Bombyx mori: one gene and its partner. The protein of the gene in region 1 purifies or fractionates together with the protein of each later gene. This does not show direct contact. Links are inferred from orthologs where the notes say so. Each region holds a gene or a part of one and is shown on either strand. Other genes may lie near its edges.

The links.
Region 2: the proteins of THO complex subunit 1 (region 1) and THO complex subunit 5 homolog purify together in Drosophila melanogaster (affinity purification with western blotting; 5 studies listed by BioGRID, with this or other methods). This does not show direct contact. The link is inferred for Bombyx mori from reciprocal best matches to the Drosophila melanogaster genes Hpr1 and thoc5.

What each region holds. Positions count from the first base shown.
Region 1 is NC_085117.1:15,874,482-15,883,402, reverse strand, and holds part of THO complex subunit 1, read left to right. Parts: 5' UTR 1-4,050; coding exon 4,051-4,095; intron 4,096-4,174; coding exon 4,175-4,852; intron 4,853-5,360; coding exon 5,361-5,620; intron 5,621-6,437; coding exon 6,438-6,610; intron 6,611-7,529; coding exon 7,530-7,659; intron 7,660-8,921.
Region 2 is NC_085114.1:10,647,928-10,656,904, reverse strand, and holds the start of THO complex subunit 5 homolog, read left to right. Parts: upstream 1-3,851; 5' UTR 3,852-3,919; intron 3,920-3,938; exon of another isoform or gene 3,939-4,204; intron 4,205-4,581; exon of another isoform or gene 4,582-5,192; intron 5,193-5,272; exon of another isoform or gene 5,273-5,286; 5' UTR 5,287-5,330; coding exon 5,331-5,429; intron 5,430-5,804; coding exon 5,805-5,942; intron 5,943-6,620; coding exon 6,621-6,911; intron 6,912-7,424; coding exon 7,425-7,764; intron 7,765-8,586; coding exon 8,587-8,977. UniProt on the Drosophila melanogaster protein: The THO complex is required for cell proliferation and for proper export of heat-shock mRNAs under heat stress.

The DNA of each region.
Region 1 (8,921 bases):
TATTTTTAAATATGGACAGAGTCCTCCAGTGGAACTGTAAAAGTATAGTTCCTAAAAAACATGAAATTATATCTTTAATTAATTCACATAATATTTTTTTACTAGCCATATCAGAAACTTGGTTAGTTCCAGGTTCCAATTTCCGTATGGCCGGTTTTAATATTCTCAGACATGATAGACATGATGGGTATGGTGGCACAGCCCTTTTAATTCGTAATAATCACAGATTTTCTTCTTTGCCAATCCCAGCTTTTAACTCGGATATTTTACAAGCAGTGGCTGCCCGAGTAGGTGAGGTAACATATCTATCTGTGTACATTTCAGAAAAGGATTTATCTGTTCTGCCTATACTAGACAAAATCATTCAATCATTACCCAAACCAATAGTAGTTCTAGGGGATTTCAACGCTCACCACTTCTTATGGGGAGCACCCAACGATGATGGCATGGGAAATGGCTTAATGGAGATAATAAATGATCATAATCTTTGTGTTCTGAATGATGGGTCCCCCACTCGTCGCCCAGTTCCGGGTCAAGCCCCAAGTTATGTTGATATTACACTTAGTTCAGCCAGTTTGTCTTCACTGTTAAACTGGGAATGTTTAACGCTGTCCTGTGGCAGTGATCATTATCCCTTATTAATTTCCTTGCCCTCTGGTAAAACAGGCACTTTTAATCCACTACCGCCGTTATTTAAGTTCAGATTAAATAACTATGATTGGGAACTGTTTAGTCAAGAAGTCGAATCGAAAATTATGTCCCTTCCAAGTTTATCTACTCTTGATGATTATAACAACATAAACAAGGCGTATGATAACCTTATTACGGCATACTTAGCAGCTGCAGATAAACATATCCCCAAAAAGAATGTTGCCCATAAGAAAATATCTTCTCCCCCATGGTGGGACAAAGAATGTACAGAAGCTGTCAATAAAAGAAATGATGCAGAAAAACTTAATAAGCAATGTTTGACCATGCATAGTTATTTATTTTATAAAAATGTTGAAGCGGCCACTAAAAGGCTTCTTCGGAAAAAGAAAAAAGAGGGATGGAAAAGATTTTGTTCCAAGCTTTCGCCTGATTCGCCATCCTCCCTAATCTGGAAAAATATAAGAATGTTTAGATCTTCTTTTATAGCCCCATCTAGAAATTATACATCGCAAGAATGGATTAATCCTTTTTTGGACAATATCGCACCCACTATGGTTCCTAAGTTTGACCAATTGCCTTATACATACTCTTATATATCAGATAACTCTAATATTAATAATAACTTAGCGTGTTCATTTTCTTTGCCGGAACTTCAATTAGTATTGAACCGGTTATCAGACTCCACTCCAGGATGTGATGGTATTCCTTACTCTTTCTTAATTAATTCAAAACCTATAACCCTATCATATTTACTGAATTTAATTAATTCTATAATAGACACTGGTATAATACCTTCTTCCTGGAAACATCAAATTATAATACCTATATTAAAGCCTAACAAAGATTCAAATAATCCTTTATCTTATAGACCTGTAGCGTTATCATCTGTTTTGGTAAAATTAGCAGAACATTTAATTAAACAAAGATTTGAGTGGTACGTAGAACATAACAATCTTTTGCCTTGCTCTCAATATGGGTTCAGAAGAGGTAAAGGTGTGTCCGATAGCCATGCCATTTTTGCAACAGACATTTTTTTGTCTTTTTCGAAATCTGAATCGGTTGTGGGAGCCTTTTTAGATATTCAAAGCGCGTATGATAATGTAAACTTAATTAAATTAAAAGAAAAAATGTCGGATTTAAAATTACCATTAAAATTTATTGATTTCATTTTTAATTTATATACTGGAAGGACTATTTCTTTACATATACCTGGTTTTGAGGACAAAATAAGAAAAGTTTGGAAAGGTATCCCTCAGGGTTCTGTTCTAAGTCCTCTATTATATGACATTTATACTTTCGATCTCCATTTAAATGTTGATCCTTCCTGTTCCATCTTACAATATGCAGATGATGTCTTAGTTTACTCTGCTAACCGTGATATTAAAATAGCAGCGGAAACTCTTAACGATTCATTAAACAAGTTATCATCCTGGCTCTCTGCCCAAAATCTTTCGTTATCTAAATCTAAAAGTCTCATAGTTGTTTTTACGCGGAAAAGAAAAGTTCCCACCGTAAATATTTCTGTTGATGGAGAACGAATACCAGTGGTTAAAGAGGCGAAATTTCTTGGTCGCATTTTTGATTCTAGTATGAACGGTAACGCTCATATCAACGACATTGTAAGAAAATGTGAGAAAAACATAAATATTATGAGAGCTGTAAGTGGCGTTTGGTGGGGGTCTCATCCTGGTGTACTTAGGTTAATGTATAATGCTTTGGTACGTAGTATATTAGACTTTGGCTCCATAACTTTTTGTCTTGAAAACAAAGAACCTCTACATAAATTAGATTTATTACAACATAAAAGTCTCAGGATCGTTATTGGAGCCATGAATAGTACTCCAATAAATGCTTTACAAATAGAATGCTCTGAACCGCCGCTATCTTTGCGTAGACAATACCTTTCTGATAGATTTATATTTAAAATTCAACAATATCATGGACACCCTTTAATTTTAAAACTACAAAATCTTTGTGAAGTTATTAATGGACGAAATGCTTTCTGGCGTAACAGGAAAATCCCTTACTTAGTTTCTAGCTATAGAAGATTTTTAGAACTACGTTGTTCAATTCATAAATTTCAATGCCACTCAACTTTTTCATATGATTACGAGACTTTAATGTTTGTACCCGATATCAAGTTATCAATAGATGATATCCAAAAAGGATCAAGCTCGGCAAACTCAAAATTAGCCTCCTTTATTAAAAACTTAGAACCTAAATCGGAAGATTTCTATACTGACGCGTCTAAATCCGTTTCCTCGGATGAAAAAAGCGTAGGAGCTGCTTTCTTAAGACTCTCGTCAGGTCATTTTCGTCTTTATAAATATCCACATCTTTCTTCAAACTTTGTTGGAGAAGGCATGGCTGTCCTTGAATGTGTCAAATATATAATTTGCAATAAAATAGAGAATTCATATATATTTTCTGATTCATTGAGCTTTCTTCAGTCTCTTTTATCAAATCCATTTAAAAAGAAACCTCCTTGTCCGCTTTCTCTTGAGGTTAAACTTAAATTAAAAGAATGTCATGATTCAAATTTACGAGTCACATTAGCATGGATTCCTGGCCATTCGGGCATCCAAGGAAATGAATTGGTAGATGATTTAGCTGCTATGGCCGCAAGGCAGGGTAATACATATATTGACAAAGTGTATACTCAAGACCTACTAGAAAAGCCTCGGGAGTATCTTTTAAAAGATTGGAACTCCCAGTGGGAAAAGTCTTGTTTATCAAAAGGTGGACGATATCGTCGTCTTCATATCAAAATTAATTTAAAACCTTGGTTTTCTAAGTTTCATTTCCCAAAAAAAGTAACATCTACCATATCGAGATTAAGATTTGGCCATTGTAGTTTACCCAGTCATTTATCGAGAATTGGTGTCGTTGACTCAGATGCTTGTGAACATTGCAATACCAATGGAAACATCGAACATACATTATTTGAATGTGTCAAATACAAATCCAAACCACTTTATGAATTCCTTATAAAATTTCGTGCTCCTCTCCCTTGTGACTCCTACACTATACTTTCCTTTGTTGATTTCAAATATACTAAAGCTCTTATTTCTTTTCTAACCTTCCATAATATTTTATTATAATATCTTTTCTTCTTTACATTACTATATTTTACTATATGTATATATTGCCCTAGTTCCTCCTATACCGCCTATTTCTAAAGTCCCTGCTCCTATCCCTCTACACTGGAATATCATGGCAACTCGACACCTCAAGATGAAGTTACTATGTCGCCTTTGGCTGACTCGACTCTGGCTAAAATAAGCTTCCGAATGAAGTTTGATCGCCATATTGAAGAAAAAAAAAAAAAAAATCTCATAAATATTTAATAGTGATTGCCAATTAATTAAAAGTGTAATAACAACATCGAATACGACCAATATGTCGAGCAAACCAGGATTCGAAGAACTCCGCACGAAATACAAAGTAAGATACGGTTATTAACCTACAAAAATATTTGAAATTGAAATCGACAAAATTTTTGAAAAACACTCATTGATTTCAGGATGTACTTTCTAAAGCCTTTGCAACGAACAACATTGACCTCATCGATTCTTTTTCCAAAAACACTGACGAAACTGACAGAAAAGCAGCTATGGACCAAGCATTTAGGGATAAGCTACTTGAATTACTTACTGAGGATCATAACACTCTTGAAAATTTTGTATCGTTCTGCATAGAATCATGCAGGCGACTTATGGTTACGCCAACAATGCCTGTTGTATTACTTGGCGATATCTTTGACGCCCTCACACTAAATAAATGTGAACAATTATTCTCATACATTGAAAAAGGTGTCAGTATATGGAAGGAAGAACTATTTTTCGTGGCATGCAAAAATAATTTATTGAGAATGTGTAATGATTTATTAAGAAGACTTTCTCGATCTCAAAATACAGTTTTCTGTGGACGTATTCTACTTTTTTTGGCAAAATTCTTTCCATTCTCTGAACGCTCCGGTCTTAATATAGTCTCTGAATTCAATTTAGAAAATATAACGGAATTTGGTGTTGATAATTCAAGTACACTGAAAGATGCTTTGGAAGAAGAAATGGTTATTGATAATGAAAAACATAAACTGACTATAGATTACAATTTATACTGTAGATTCTGGAGTTTGCAAGAATTCTTCAGAAATCCTAATACTTGTTACAATAAACTCCAGTGGAAGACCTTTGTTGCAGTAAGTTTATTTTTATTTATTGAATTCTTATCTGCATTTTTATTTGTGGACTGTACTGTAATCCTCCACTAATGTTCTAAATTGTAAAACAAAACAGTAACTATTCATTATTTTTAATCTATGATTTTACTCCCATGCTGGAAACAGATAAGACAAAAATCCCATAACTGTAAAAAATCTGACACAACCAAGCTACAGAAAACAGACTTAACAAAAATATTTAGAACTTCTCACTACTTCTGTTTTGATCTATTATTCTCAATGCCCAAATTTTCATGTTACTCTAAGAGCAGTAGCCAGCCAGCAGCTGATTCACTTCTGTAATTATTGCTCACCATGTGATTTTCTCTTTTAAGTCACTCAAGCTTAAACCATAAAGACTTTAGAGACATTGGTTATGATCTTTCATATATGTCTCAGTCAACGCTAGCCTTCTACATATACAGACAGACTTGGGTCATTTTGCTATCATCAATCAAATTAAAATATGATTTCTTGATGTTTTCAGCACTCTGGTAGTGTATTGTCCGCATTCTCATCCTACAAGCTAGAGACAGTTGAGCTGCAGAAATCTAAAATGAATCGATTGAAGCCATTGACTGACGTGGAAATGCAGGGTCAAGGCAAAGAGCAGCATTACTTTGCAAAATTTCTAACCAATCAGAAATTGTTAGAGTTGCAATTATCAGATTCGAACTTCAGAAGATGCGTCCTCATACAGTTTCTAATACTGTTTCAGTATCTGATGTCAACTGTTAAGTTCAAAACGTATGTACTGTAAGCGTATCGCAAATTATTATTTAGAGTCTTTGTAATTATAAAAGAAGTAATATGAATTATTTTTCTCAAATAATGAAATGAATCTCCGTTTGTTGAATGAAAAATCCAATATATTCAGGTTTCAAAAACTAAGGATACCAAATTGAACACTAATTTACTGTGTGTTGGTTCCAATTGTAACTAGTTTTCAAAAAACTAATGCTGATATAGCCTTTCAAGGCTATCAGCTTAGGTAGAAAACAAAAATCTTTGCCATTTTGTAAGCAACTTATCTGTTTTACTCTAGAGCCTATAATATATATATATATATTTTATTGCCCTTGTAGGCAGACGAGCATACGGCCCACCTGATGGTGAGTGGTTACCGTCGCCCATGAACTTCGGCAATGCCAGGGGCAGAGCCAAACCGCTGCCTCTAGATATAGACATGCTTATTTAAGGTAATATTTCCCGCTCTCTCTTTGACTACCAATGTGTAACTATCACGCTACATAATTGTTCCATTAGTTTTAGTTCCACTGATTACGAAATTTAGACTGATAATATTAGTATCAATATGTTTTCATTACAATACAATTCAGAGTAAATGCAGATGCAGCTTGTTGAATGAAATATTCTGTAATTTTCTTTTGGAATTTGAGACTTATCCAGGACTTGGTCCACCTGGTAGTAAGAAGTCACCTTCGTTCATAGACATCAGTTTGATTAGACACACACTAAAGACTTACCTCAATCTTCAAAAATTATAGACATCTTCTCGAGTCATATATGTGGGAATGTAAATGAACCACTATTGATTTTCTAGAGAAGCGCAGGAACTAAAATCTGACCAGTCTGATTGGATTAAAGATACAACCTCTCAGATTTATCGTTTGCTCGGTGAGACTCCACCGAATGGGAAGAAATTTGCGGAATGCGTTAAAAGCATACTAAAGCGAGAAGAACATTGGAACAACTGGAAAAATGATGGGTGTCCAGGTGAGAAACATTAGACACTTGTGGTGCTTGTGTCGTCAGTAATCTAATCTCGATACTAATTCGAAAAAATTATGTGTATCTATGTTTAGAGCAATTCTAAACATGAAGTTTTTATTACTATTTTTTGAATTCTGAAATAGAATAATAATTTTGACAACACAGTCATTGTAAATCAATCAACAATTCAGGTCGTATGTGCACGTATTGTAACTAATTAAAATAAAATAAAAATAACCTTCTCTCTGAATACATATTAATTATTGAAGCGACCAGCACAAAATACAGTCCACGCTCTACACATTGGTCCTTCGAACCGGAAATAATATAATAATATTATAATTCACATTTATACTGTGTTCATTTGTCCGTCCTTCACATAAAACTAAAGTAACGGATTGACATGATTTTTTCAAAAGTGATAGTGTTTGGTCAAGAGTGCTAGGCTACTATAGGCTACCATTTTTATCCCGAAAGAACATCTCATTCTCGTGCGAAACTACACTGACACCTTTACCTCCACCACACAGGCAAAGTCTGTAAAGCCTGTAACAGCCAGTGATCTATATAATTAAAAATCACTGTTTATGTGTTTGTCCTTTATGTATTTCCACCATTCACGTGGTTGTGGACTGTTTTTTTAGATTATACGAAAAGGTGATTCCATTTTTTTTGGAAATGTTTATTCTTGGGGCTTGTCTCGGTTCTGAAAGGGTTATTGCCAGAACATGATCAATGAATGCTCTGTGCTTGATGTAACGCGCTGTAAAAGGTTTACTAATAAGCTTTAATTTCTTATTTATTTTTAATTTATTTTTAAGAATATACATTTAAACAAACAAGATAGGATTTTATTTTATTATGTAACAGAAAGAAGGTTCTATGAAGAATGAAATAGATTAATAAAAATAAATACTTGTAGAATTTCAAAAACCCAAGCCACCGACACAATTGGACACCCCTGAAGATGTTAAGAAATCACGCAAAAGGCGTCGTCCGGTCGGCGATATTGTTAAGGAATACGAAGGACAGAAGAAATCCTATATGGGAAAGTGAGTATTATAATATCATTTATTTATTATAGTCATTTTATTGATTTCACGAACCAGAATTATTTTCAAATACGAAAACCTATAAGCGTACATGGCCCGATTGGTAAGACGCCTCGCGCACTTGTATACAGTGATGAGATTATGTTACTTTTCAAATTTTTAAACATGCCGGTGCCAGTATTTTCTTTAAGTAAATACTTAACATCACGAACTATTTCAATATATTTTTTTCCCTACCTATACTGATAGCCTTGAGAGGCTATTTCACCTTCTATAACGTGTAAGTGAGCTTACGGGGCTCAAACCGGAGTGATGCTAATACTGGCCCTAGCAAGAGCAGTGCTTCGCAGAATCTACCACCGAATCGGAAACGCGGCTCACTGAGAAGATCCGGCGGGAAACTCTGGGCTGTGTCTATGGGTTAATTCGCTCGTCGAGACCTTCGTCGCAAGCGACGGGTTCGGCGAGGACGGTGACCAGTGCTTGTGGTACCTAAAAGCACCGTTAATGGATCGGGAAGATCCGTAATGACGTGTTTTGGGCGTATTTCAATGATGTAACAATAACGGCGTGGATTTTATGAATTCGTTCGTAATTCGCGGTGGCAGAGAGAGAGAGAGCTTGTCAGCCCGTAAGGTTAGGTTTGCTATCCATTTCTGCCCCAAAACTTTGTGATGCTTCGATTCGTAAAGTGGAACAGTCGTATTGTAAATTTGAGACTTCGATCTGGTGTCTCGAGGTCTAAAGCGACATTCAAGTTAAAATGTTTATTGGCTAAAGTAATAGCTGTGTGCACATTATTGTCCCTCTATTGAAAGACAAAAAATATATTAAATCACAAACAGTACTATAAAGTATGTATGTATATATAGTACTAGTTGTACCCGTCCGCTTCGCTGGGCATTTCAAATTAACATTATTATTTCTCACCCCCACAAAGATTCTCATTATTAACGCCCCCGAAACTGGTGTAGGGAGTTCAACACTCATATAAATATTAGCCTGTCCATTAAGTACATGTATTTTCTACATGGATACCAAGTTTCAATTCAATCGGATGCATGGTTCAGTAGTTATAACGGAGTATCCGTAAAAACCACTGTAGATGTATAGATTATAGATTTTCTTGGGTAATCGTGATTCGTAGACATAACTGAATCTAATTTTCCGGTTTAACAACGAGTGTTTTTACTGTAATTATATCGAGGGGTGAAAGCTATTTAGTTTAAGCGACATTTCGCTTAATACGCGACATTTATCTT
Region 2 (8,977 bases), on another chromosome or scaffold:
GCACGTGTGTCTGTATAGGTGTCCACTTAATGAAAAGTTCATTTGCATGAAAGATGGAAACAACCTTAAAATTTTTATTCTATTACAGCCCTTTTTCGACTACTGAGTTACATACAACTAGTTTGTATCTACATATATATTAATATGTGAAGCAAAAACTTTGTACCCCTTTTAACCCACACTTACAGAGAATATAGAGAAGGAGTGCAGAATGCTAATAGTTGTTTTTATTATTAAGCATAAAAAATACATAAAATCAATAAAAAAAGCTTTGCACACAATACCATGTATTTGACACACAAACACACATATACTCTTTTTTTATTGTTAAAGTCTGTGGACAAATTGAGAATAGATTAATATTGTTTGTCTTTAATATTATTTGTCTATAGTATAGCTTTGGCGAAATATGTAATTATAGAAGTATAGACTTTGATAATAGAACCATAATAATCTTCAAAATTTTTAATTAAGTTAATTAAAGTTGAATTTCGATTACAGGGCGACCACTAGTAATCTTTTAATCAGTGACAATTATTTCATAAAACCCTTTATCATTGATTGATTATTTGATAATTTTATTTTATGTTTAGTGACAAATAAATAAATATCTTCAGTCTTATGGTATTATTTGCAAGTTTTTATCAATAACTGAGTATATGATGCACAATAATATCCTTTTATGCAACCAATTTAAACATAATTTGTTAGCCTTTTTTACTTCCAACATATCACTTGAAATCTCATTAAAATAGTTCAGTCAGCCATTTTGTGTCAATTGATATGAACAATTGCAGGTAAACAGACGTAAATTCTACCATCAATTTGATTATTTCTATTATACTATTAGATGTGTTCTCATACCTTGCCAGCATAGCCAGCTTTCTGGATAGCATCCTGAATCAGATAAAGAGCATCCTTGTTGTTTTGTATGTTTGGAGCGAAACCACCTTCATCACCAACAGCCGTAGAGTCCAATCCAAACTTCTCCTTAATGATCTTTTTCAAATGGTGGTACACTTCTGAACCCATCCTCATGGCTTCACTGAAGGTGGATGCCCCTGTTAAAATGATATTTTCATTTTGAAGTCAATTTATTTACTTAATTTGGAACTGCATTATGATCAGCCCACAGTTTTCAATAGCTGTATATTGGCCTCTCCCCAGTTTTATTACTGAGACTGATCTTTGGCTTTCTTCATATCTTGACATGTTATTTTGGAACCAATGATTTTTTTATTGCGTAGATGGGTGAACTAGCTCACAGCCCAGCTGGTTTTAAGTGGTAAAATAACAACCTTGAGGCATTAGTTCTAAGTCTCAATTTATAGTATAATGGCTGCCCCACCTTACGAATAGAAATGCTTTACGCCTTCACGGCATATATAGCAGGAAGACTGGTGGTACCTATCCATTCTGACTTACAAGAAGTCCTACCACTAATAATTTAAAAAATTAAATTACCTGTAGGGAAAATCATGAATTCCTGCATGGCAAGTTTATTTCCAGCATGTGATCCTCCATTGATCACATTGAATGCTGGTACAGGTAGAACAATGTCATTATTTCCAGCCAAATCAGCCAAGTGCTTGTACAGCGGAACATTCTTCTTGGCAGCACCAGCCTTAGCAACAGCTAGGGAAACTCCAAGGATAGCATTAGCACCCAGTTTGGATTTGTTCTCAGTGCCATCCAACTTAAGCATGAGTTCATCAATCTGTTAATTTAAAAGGTTTACATAGCTGACATATACTTTTTTAAATATATTTAATATTATTTTTAAACTATTAAATACATTTCTTGTTAATATGAAAATCCTATCAATATTAATTCCACTTCAATTGAATGTTAATACCACACTCAAGTTTTTTTTGAGTCCTTTCGAAATATCTACTCTTGTTTGAGATTTAAAAATAATTACCTCTCTCTGTTGGGTTACTTCGAGGTTGGCTTTTGTAAGTTCAGGAGCAATGAGTTCATTGATATTTTTGATTGCGGTCAAAACTCCCTTGCCATGATATTCACTCTTGATGTTATCTCTTAGTTCAAGAGCTTCATGAACACCAGTGGATGCACCAGAGGGTACAGCTGCCCGGAACAAGCCAAGCTCTGTTACCTGTTCACAGAATTAAAAGGTACTTTACATTTTTCAAAGAATTTCAGTAATTTAGTTGTTGATAATTTGTAACAAAAAACTTACCAGATCAACTTCCACAGTAGGGTTGCCACGAGAGTCAAAGATTTGACGAGCCTTGATTGATTTTATTACCATTTTTAATACTGAACTAGACTTTCTAGAAAAAAAAAAATTTTTCATTTTATTTGGAGAGCACTGGCAGTAGTTTAGAAGTCATCATGCCCCATCAACATGGTTAAGACACTTAAAGTATACCGGTATATCTATCTTGATAAAAGGACAAATGACTTTGTCCAATTTACAAAAATAAAAGATGTGTAAAATTGATGGAAATTTTGAATTTTCATTTAGTTCAGAAAAAAACTTGCAATCTCAATCTCAAAAAACTAATTTTTAATAGATCCTAAAGGTTAAATCAATACAAAATTACTATTTTATTGTATTTCTATATAATGCTTAGTATATGTGAATTTTAGATTTGGCAATTTAGTTTCAATTTTTTCAGATATCTTTTTTGTTCATCTGTTGATAGAAATGTATGGGACAAGTCATTAAATTGAAAGTATGATTTAAACCCAGTGACCTCAGGATCATCAGCCCACAGAAATTTACTGCTGTATATAAGCAAGGTTTACCACAATGACTGGTCTTACATAGCCCACATCCAGCAATTTACGCAACCTTTAAAATCTTAGACATAGAACCACCGAGACCTAAAATACAACCACCAATTTCCCATTTAGGATCTTGACACTCTTATTTGCTTAATAAAACACCCCATTATTTCAACTTATTACTACTTCTGATTTCCAAAGCACACAGCCTAGTCACGAGACTTACCTTGAATACTGCAAAAAGATTTATTGTATCGATTGAGGGTATTAAAGGATTAATTCTATTACTTTTACTTCTATTGCTAACGCTAATCGAATGAGATGCGCCGGCAAGGTCAAACATAGGTTGTACAATCATAATTCCTACTTTAAAATATTTTTTGATTTAAAATGTTTATTACAAATTCATTGCGCTCACGGGGTTTAAGAATTAGTCATTTTCAACGGATACAATGAAATTTACGTAAAATTGGATGGCTAATGATCGGCATCTAATTTTTTTGTATTGAAAATTTTTGCACTACTCCACTTTTTTGTAATCCATACACATCATAATAATAATAAATTACAAACCTTAAATTAAGCGATATCCTTATTTAACAAAATTGCACCTTACAAGCCGGGTTTGGCAAAATATAAGGATTTGGTTGCTGGCGCGATTACAGCAGTGATATTTTTGACCTTCTCAAGGTGGAAAGCAAAAACAAATGTCCTTTGTTTTGTGTACTTAAAGAGGCAAAGGGATCATAGTCATTTTATATAAAATAAACTAGATAACTAATCAACTGGGATGAAATTAAATGAAATGAGATGATATGGGATGAAATATTTATGATCTCAGTAAAATGGTGGTCATTTACTGAGATTCTTTCAGTGGACTTTTTGGAGGATCCCGAGGAGTTACGTCTAGCGACTTTGTTTCATTTTCCCACATTTGTGCCCTTTCGCAAATACTAAACAGGTAATAAACCACCATTATCATACATTCAAACCTGAAGAAATACCAAATAGACAAAATAAAACATATCACACAGCTTCACTCCTCGCATTCCCGCCAAAAAGTCGAAATCTATGAGCTGAGAGATGCACACATAGATTATCACATAGGTAATATTTGAGGATGCTTAACTGACATTTACTGACATTTATGGAGAGTTGCTATTGCTGAGTAGACGTGCGCTAATCATGTTCGGAACTGGATTGAACATGACATCGTTCTTTTGAGTGTCGGAACTAGTTCCAGTAAACATGTTCGCGGAACTGTTTAGTTTCACGAACATGTTAAGTCTAGTAGCTGTTTGTAGTTTGTAGCTGTTTAGTTCCGCGGACATATTAAGTCTAGTAGCTGTTTGAAGCTGTTTAGTTCCGCGGACATGTTAAGTCTAGTAACTGTTTGTAGTGTAGCGAATCACGTATTAAGTTATTATTAATTACACAATATTTTTCAAAAAAGGTATTAAAAATACAATTTTTTAAAAGCACTATATAAAAATAGATTGCCGCTTATGGCAATTATTATTGTAATATTATTTTGTAAGGTTTTTAGTTTTAGGTTCATTGTTACAGCTGGTTGCATAATTTATTAATGTACTGTAATTACTTTGTCATAATTTCAACTACTCTACTACTTTCATTATTTTTCAATGTAGGTATTGTACGATGCACCGAAAACTATAACCTATCAGTTGTTAATTAAAATACCACGTTATTCTGATATACAACGTAAATTGAGCTCGTTGTAGCCTTACAACCTTTTTCCCATAACCGAGATACCGAATAGCGAAAGTGGTGAATGTTTTAAAATTCTCGAATTTTGAATTATGATTTTCTAAGAAATGGTCTACAAACACTTAAGGTTAAGTGCTCGTAGGAATGATGCATGGTCAAGGTCAAAATCCATAGCAAAACATTTTAATTTATTCAACTATCGACTGTAACACGTAGGTCGTAGAGCATAACTTCAATATTAATAAAAATGTAATATGAAAGAGCTCCACACGCAGTTTCATGCACTCGCTCCATCTCACTCTCTCGTATTCGTGCCATATGTCGCCTTATCTCTTTACGTGGACTCGTGTCGGTTCGAGACTCGTTCGGGTGGACTCGCCGCGCCACGCCTCCGCGCCGCGCGGTACCTATGCTCTAATCATGTCCGCATGTCCGTCATGTTCAACGCGTTCGTAGTTCCTGCATAACAGTACACTTGGAATGGAAATGGAACTGTCTGAACATGTTAATTTTGACAACTCGGATTGAATGATATAGTTCCATATGAGGACATAGTTCCAGGAACTATTTAGGTCCGGAACTACGCATGTCTATTGCTGAGTAGGTACAATAATGAAGTATAATTTAAAAAAAATCATAGTTAAAGACTACCTTTCAAATTAAAGGCTAACATTAAAAGAAAAATAATTCAAACATTACCGTGAACGATGCTAGTAAAAGCTTTAATATATAAAAACAAATCCAGTGAATAGAGTGAATAGGCAGTAAGGTTGTAATTGTCTGTTTAAATTAGTGATTTTTTTAAAGTTCCAGACTTGGATGAAATCTGATAAACTTGAATAAAACTAAACATGGGAAAAGAAGAAGTAACGGCTGTTAAGAAACGGCGCAAATTAAATACAAGTACATCAAATGACGGAACAAAGCCAGTTCCCGTTGATGTATACAAGGTATTGACCAAAATATATAAGATGTAACATAACCTCAAGACTCATTATTCTGTACCATAAATATGTATAATAATGTAAATTTAAGTACATAGTTCTACTAATAAATGAGAATTTATATTTGTGGCTCCTGGTTTAGCAAGCTGTTGCTTTTATATTTTCTGTTGAAGTTTTTGTTTCAGTTTTAACTTATTATTAACAAAAATAAAAATTAAGTGAATCCTGTTCGTGAAATATCTTGTGATCTTCAAAACAAGTTTAATATTAACACTTAGAGAAGTTGTAAACTGAACAAGATCCCAGTACACCAAAAAAATTGTCTTTATTTTTCAAGATTCTTCATTCATTACAAAATGTGTTTTAAATGGATTGTTCCAGCGTGTTGTTGAATTTGAAGAAGCTGAAGCTCATCTGCGTCCAGCTGATAAGGATGCTGCCTTTTTCAATAAAACATGCCAAGACATAAGGCAACTTTTTAAAGAGATTGCAGAGTTAAAAACTAAAGAAACATTGGAGGTATGCCACTTTTCAATTAATAGTTAATGCAGGACATAATAAGAGTCGGGTCCTACCTCGAGAACAGGATGGCCGTGTGCACCGGGCACTGTGGGGCGGTGCTCCATTTTCCCGTCGAGCGTGGTGTCCCACAGGGGTCGGTCCTTGGCCCTCTCTTGTGGAATGTCGGCTACGAACTGGGTCCTGCGGGGTGCCCTTAGCACTCCTCTCCCGGGTCTGAGCGTAGCTTGTTACACGGACGACACTTTGGTCGTTACCCGGGGGAGGGACATCTTTCCTGTGTATGGGTGGCCTTCGTCGTCTGCAGGAGTATCGCGTTCTGACCCGGCAGGCTGGTTCTGGTCCAGCTGGGTATCCCGGAACACCAGCGGCATCGCCCGGGCGGCCTGGCAGGGCTGTCGTACCGCGGAGACCGGCTTCGTTGTCGTCGACTGTCGCATTGAGGACTCGTCGATCCGGCGTCTTCAGGGTGGCGTCGCGTGTCTGGTTGTAGTGTTGACTACCAGATCGTAAAGTCCCACACCCCCCTAGACGCGGGGACCTCGTAGGAGGTTCGGCACCCGGCTCGACAAATAAAAAAAAAAAATGGACATGATTAGATTATATTATGAATTGTAATTAATGTTAAATAATATAAAATATGGAACAATGCAATTAAGGCAAAAGTTATAATTACAGGCTAAAGAAAAGATAAATGCAAAAAGAGTGGAAGCTTCATTACTGCTGGTTGCGTTAAAGAAATTAAATCGCCTGGAGAAAGTACGAACTAGAGCTGGTCGTGATGCGCTCCATAAAGAGAAACAGAGAGTTGATTCCACACATTTACTGTTACAAAATTTACTTTACGAAGCAGATCACTTAAACAAAGAAGTAACTAAATGTTTACAATTCAAATCTAAAGATGAAGAAATAGATCTTGTGCCTCTTGAAGAATTCTATAAAAATGCACCTCCTGATATTATTAGATCAGTAAGTATGTTTTCACAGTGTGTAACTGATATCTGAATGTACATATTTTAACCGTTTCAGCTCTGAATATTTTTTTAGTTTTGTCCCTAAAATGCTGTAGGTAGCTAAAATCCTGAATTTCTTTTAAATATTGAAGCCAAACTTGAATTGCAATAATATAAACAGTTCAAAACATATACATGCACTCAGGACCAAGAGCTTACCTAAGTTTTTGGGCGATAGCATTGCATCCCAATTGTCATTTTATACATTAAAGCGCTATCGTGCTGAGTAGCATCATAACGGTTAGTAGAAAGTTAGGCATGACAGAAGTATGACTGCTTTTAATCTGTCCTGGTGAGGGTGCCAGTCATATGATTCACATTGTTTCCCCTTACAAATATACATATGACATATTCCACACATATCTCAGACACTTGATACTGAGTACTTGTAACTTTGATACTGATCAGATGAGTTGTTGCAGTAATGGTACTGACAAATTCAACAATATGACAATGTGTAAAATTTTAGGAGGTCACAAAGGCTGATGAACATCAATTACAATTAGCCCGACTGGAGTGGGAGTTACGTCAACGTCGTGAATTATCTGAAGCCTGTAATGAACTCATATCTTCCAAGGAACGAGTAGCAGCTGCCATTGCTGCTGCACGTTCTAGACTTGATGCATTGGCTCCACATCTGAAAGATGTCTTGAAATCCACTAAACCTTTGCAAGAATGTCTTGCTCTACGCTTGGATGAAAAACGTGATGAAGCCAGGGCCGCAAGCTTGCTTCCAGCATCACTATTCCTACTATTTAAAAATGCAAACGCATATTCTGATATTTTAGGAAGCAAAGTTATTAGTGTTGGTAAGCAATTTCAAAGCTCAAAATATTCATTGCATCTTAAAGTTCATAGATTTACATACCCAATTCAGCAGAGCAAAGGGTAAACAGTCGTCCTAAACACGCCATTTCGGATCCCCCGATCCACTATCGGTGCAGTTAGGTACCCCATGCATCGGTCATCGTTCTCGTCAAACCCGTCGCTTGCGACAAAGAGCTTACGGAGCAAATTAACCCTAAGACACAGCCCACTGAGTTTCTCGCCGGATCTTTTCAATAGGTCGCGTTTCCGATCCGGTGGTAGACAGCGAAGCAGGCCTGCTAGGGCTAGTGTTGGAAAACTCCTTAGGATAAAGTCCCATGAGCTCACCTTTTTTTTTTTTAACGCTGGGGAATCCATTTACGGATACCCGGTCGATGGGGGTAAGAGACCGGGTTATGTCGGACTCCGGCGCCTCCAGAGAAGAACAGGAAGAAGAAGAAGACAGGGGTCCTCCTCTTCTCCCAATTCCTGCCGGGAGATTACGCCTTGGGAAAGGCGCGCGAGGCACTGCACGGCGTCAGCCACGCAAGAGCTACCCCGCAAAACCGACTACCGACTAAACCCCATCGAGCCCCACCACTCCGACTCCACGAAACCCACGGTACCGCTCAGTGCGCGCCGAAGGGTCGCCGTCCCATGAGCTCACTTAGTCGCCCGGCGAAGCTGGCATACCACCGCGAGGCTACCAGCATATGAAGAAAAAAATCTTAATAGAATTAAAGTTTTTGCTTATAATATAATACCCACTCAAACGTATTTTTTTATTTAGAAAAAAATATATGTACATGTATTTCATATTGTAGGTGTTTGCGGTGATGAAGATGAAGCTCGCCGGCATGATCAAAACAATGTTGAAAATGATATTATTTCATCAAATGAGTCAGATTCAGATCAAGAAAATAATGATGAAGATCAACAAACCAAAAAGAAACGACATCACAGAACTAAAAACGTATCTAAAGAAGACAAAGCAGAAGCTAAAATAAAACGAGTATTCAAGAAACATCCTTTAAATGTACAAGTTTCAGTTAAAGCAGAAGATGGTACTGCATTGAATCTCATATTATCATACCTCATAAACTTGAAAATTATAGTTGTGAAGTTTACTGTATCGCTACCCAAACCTGTCACTGGTGTATCTGCTGCTGATGTTCTAAATGGACATTCTATTTTAAATGAACTGTACCCAGGGGA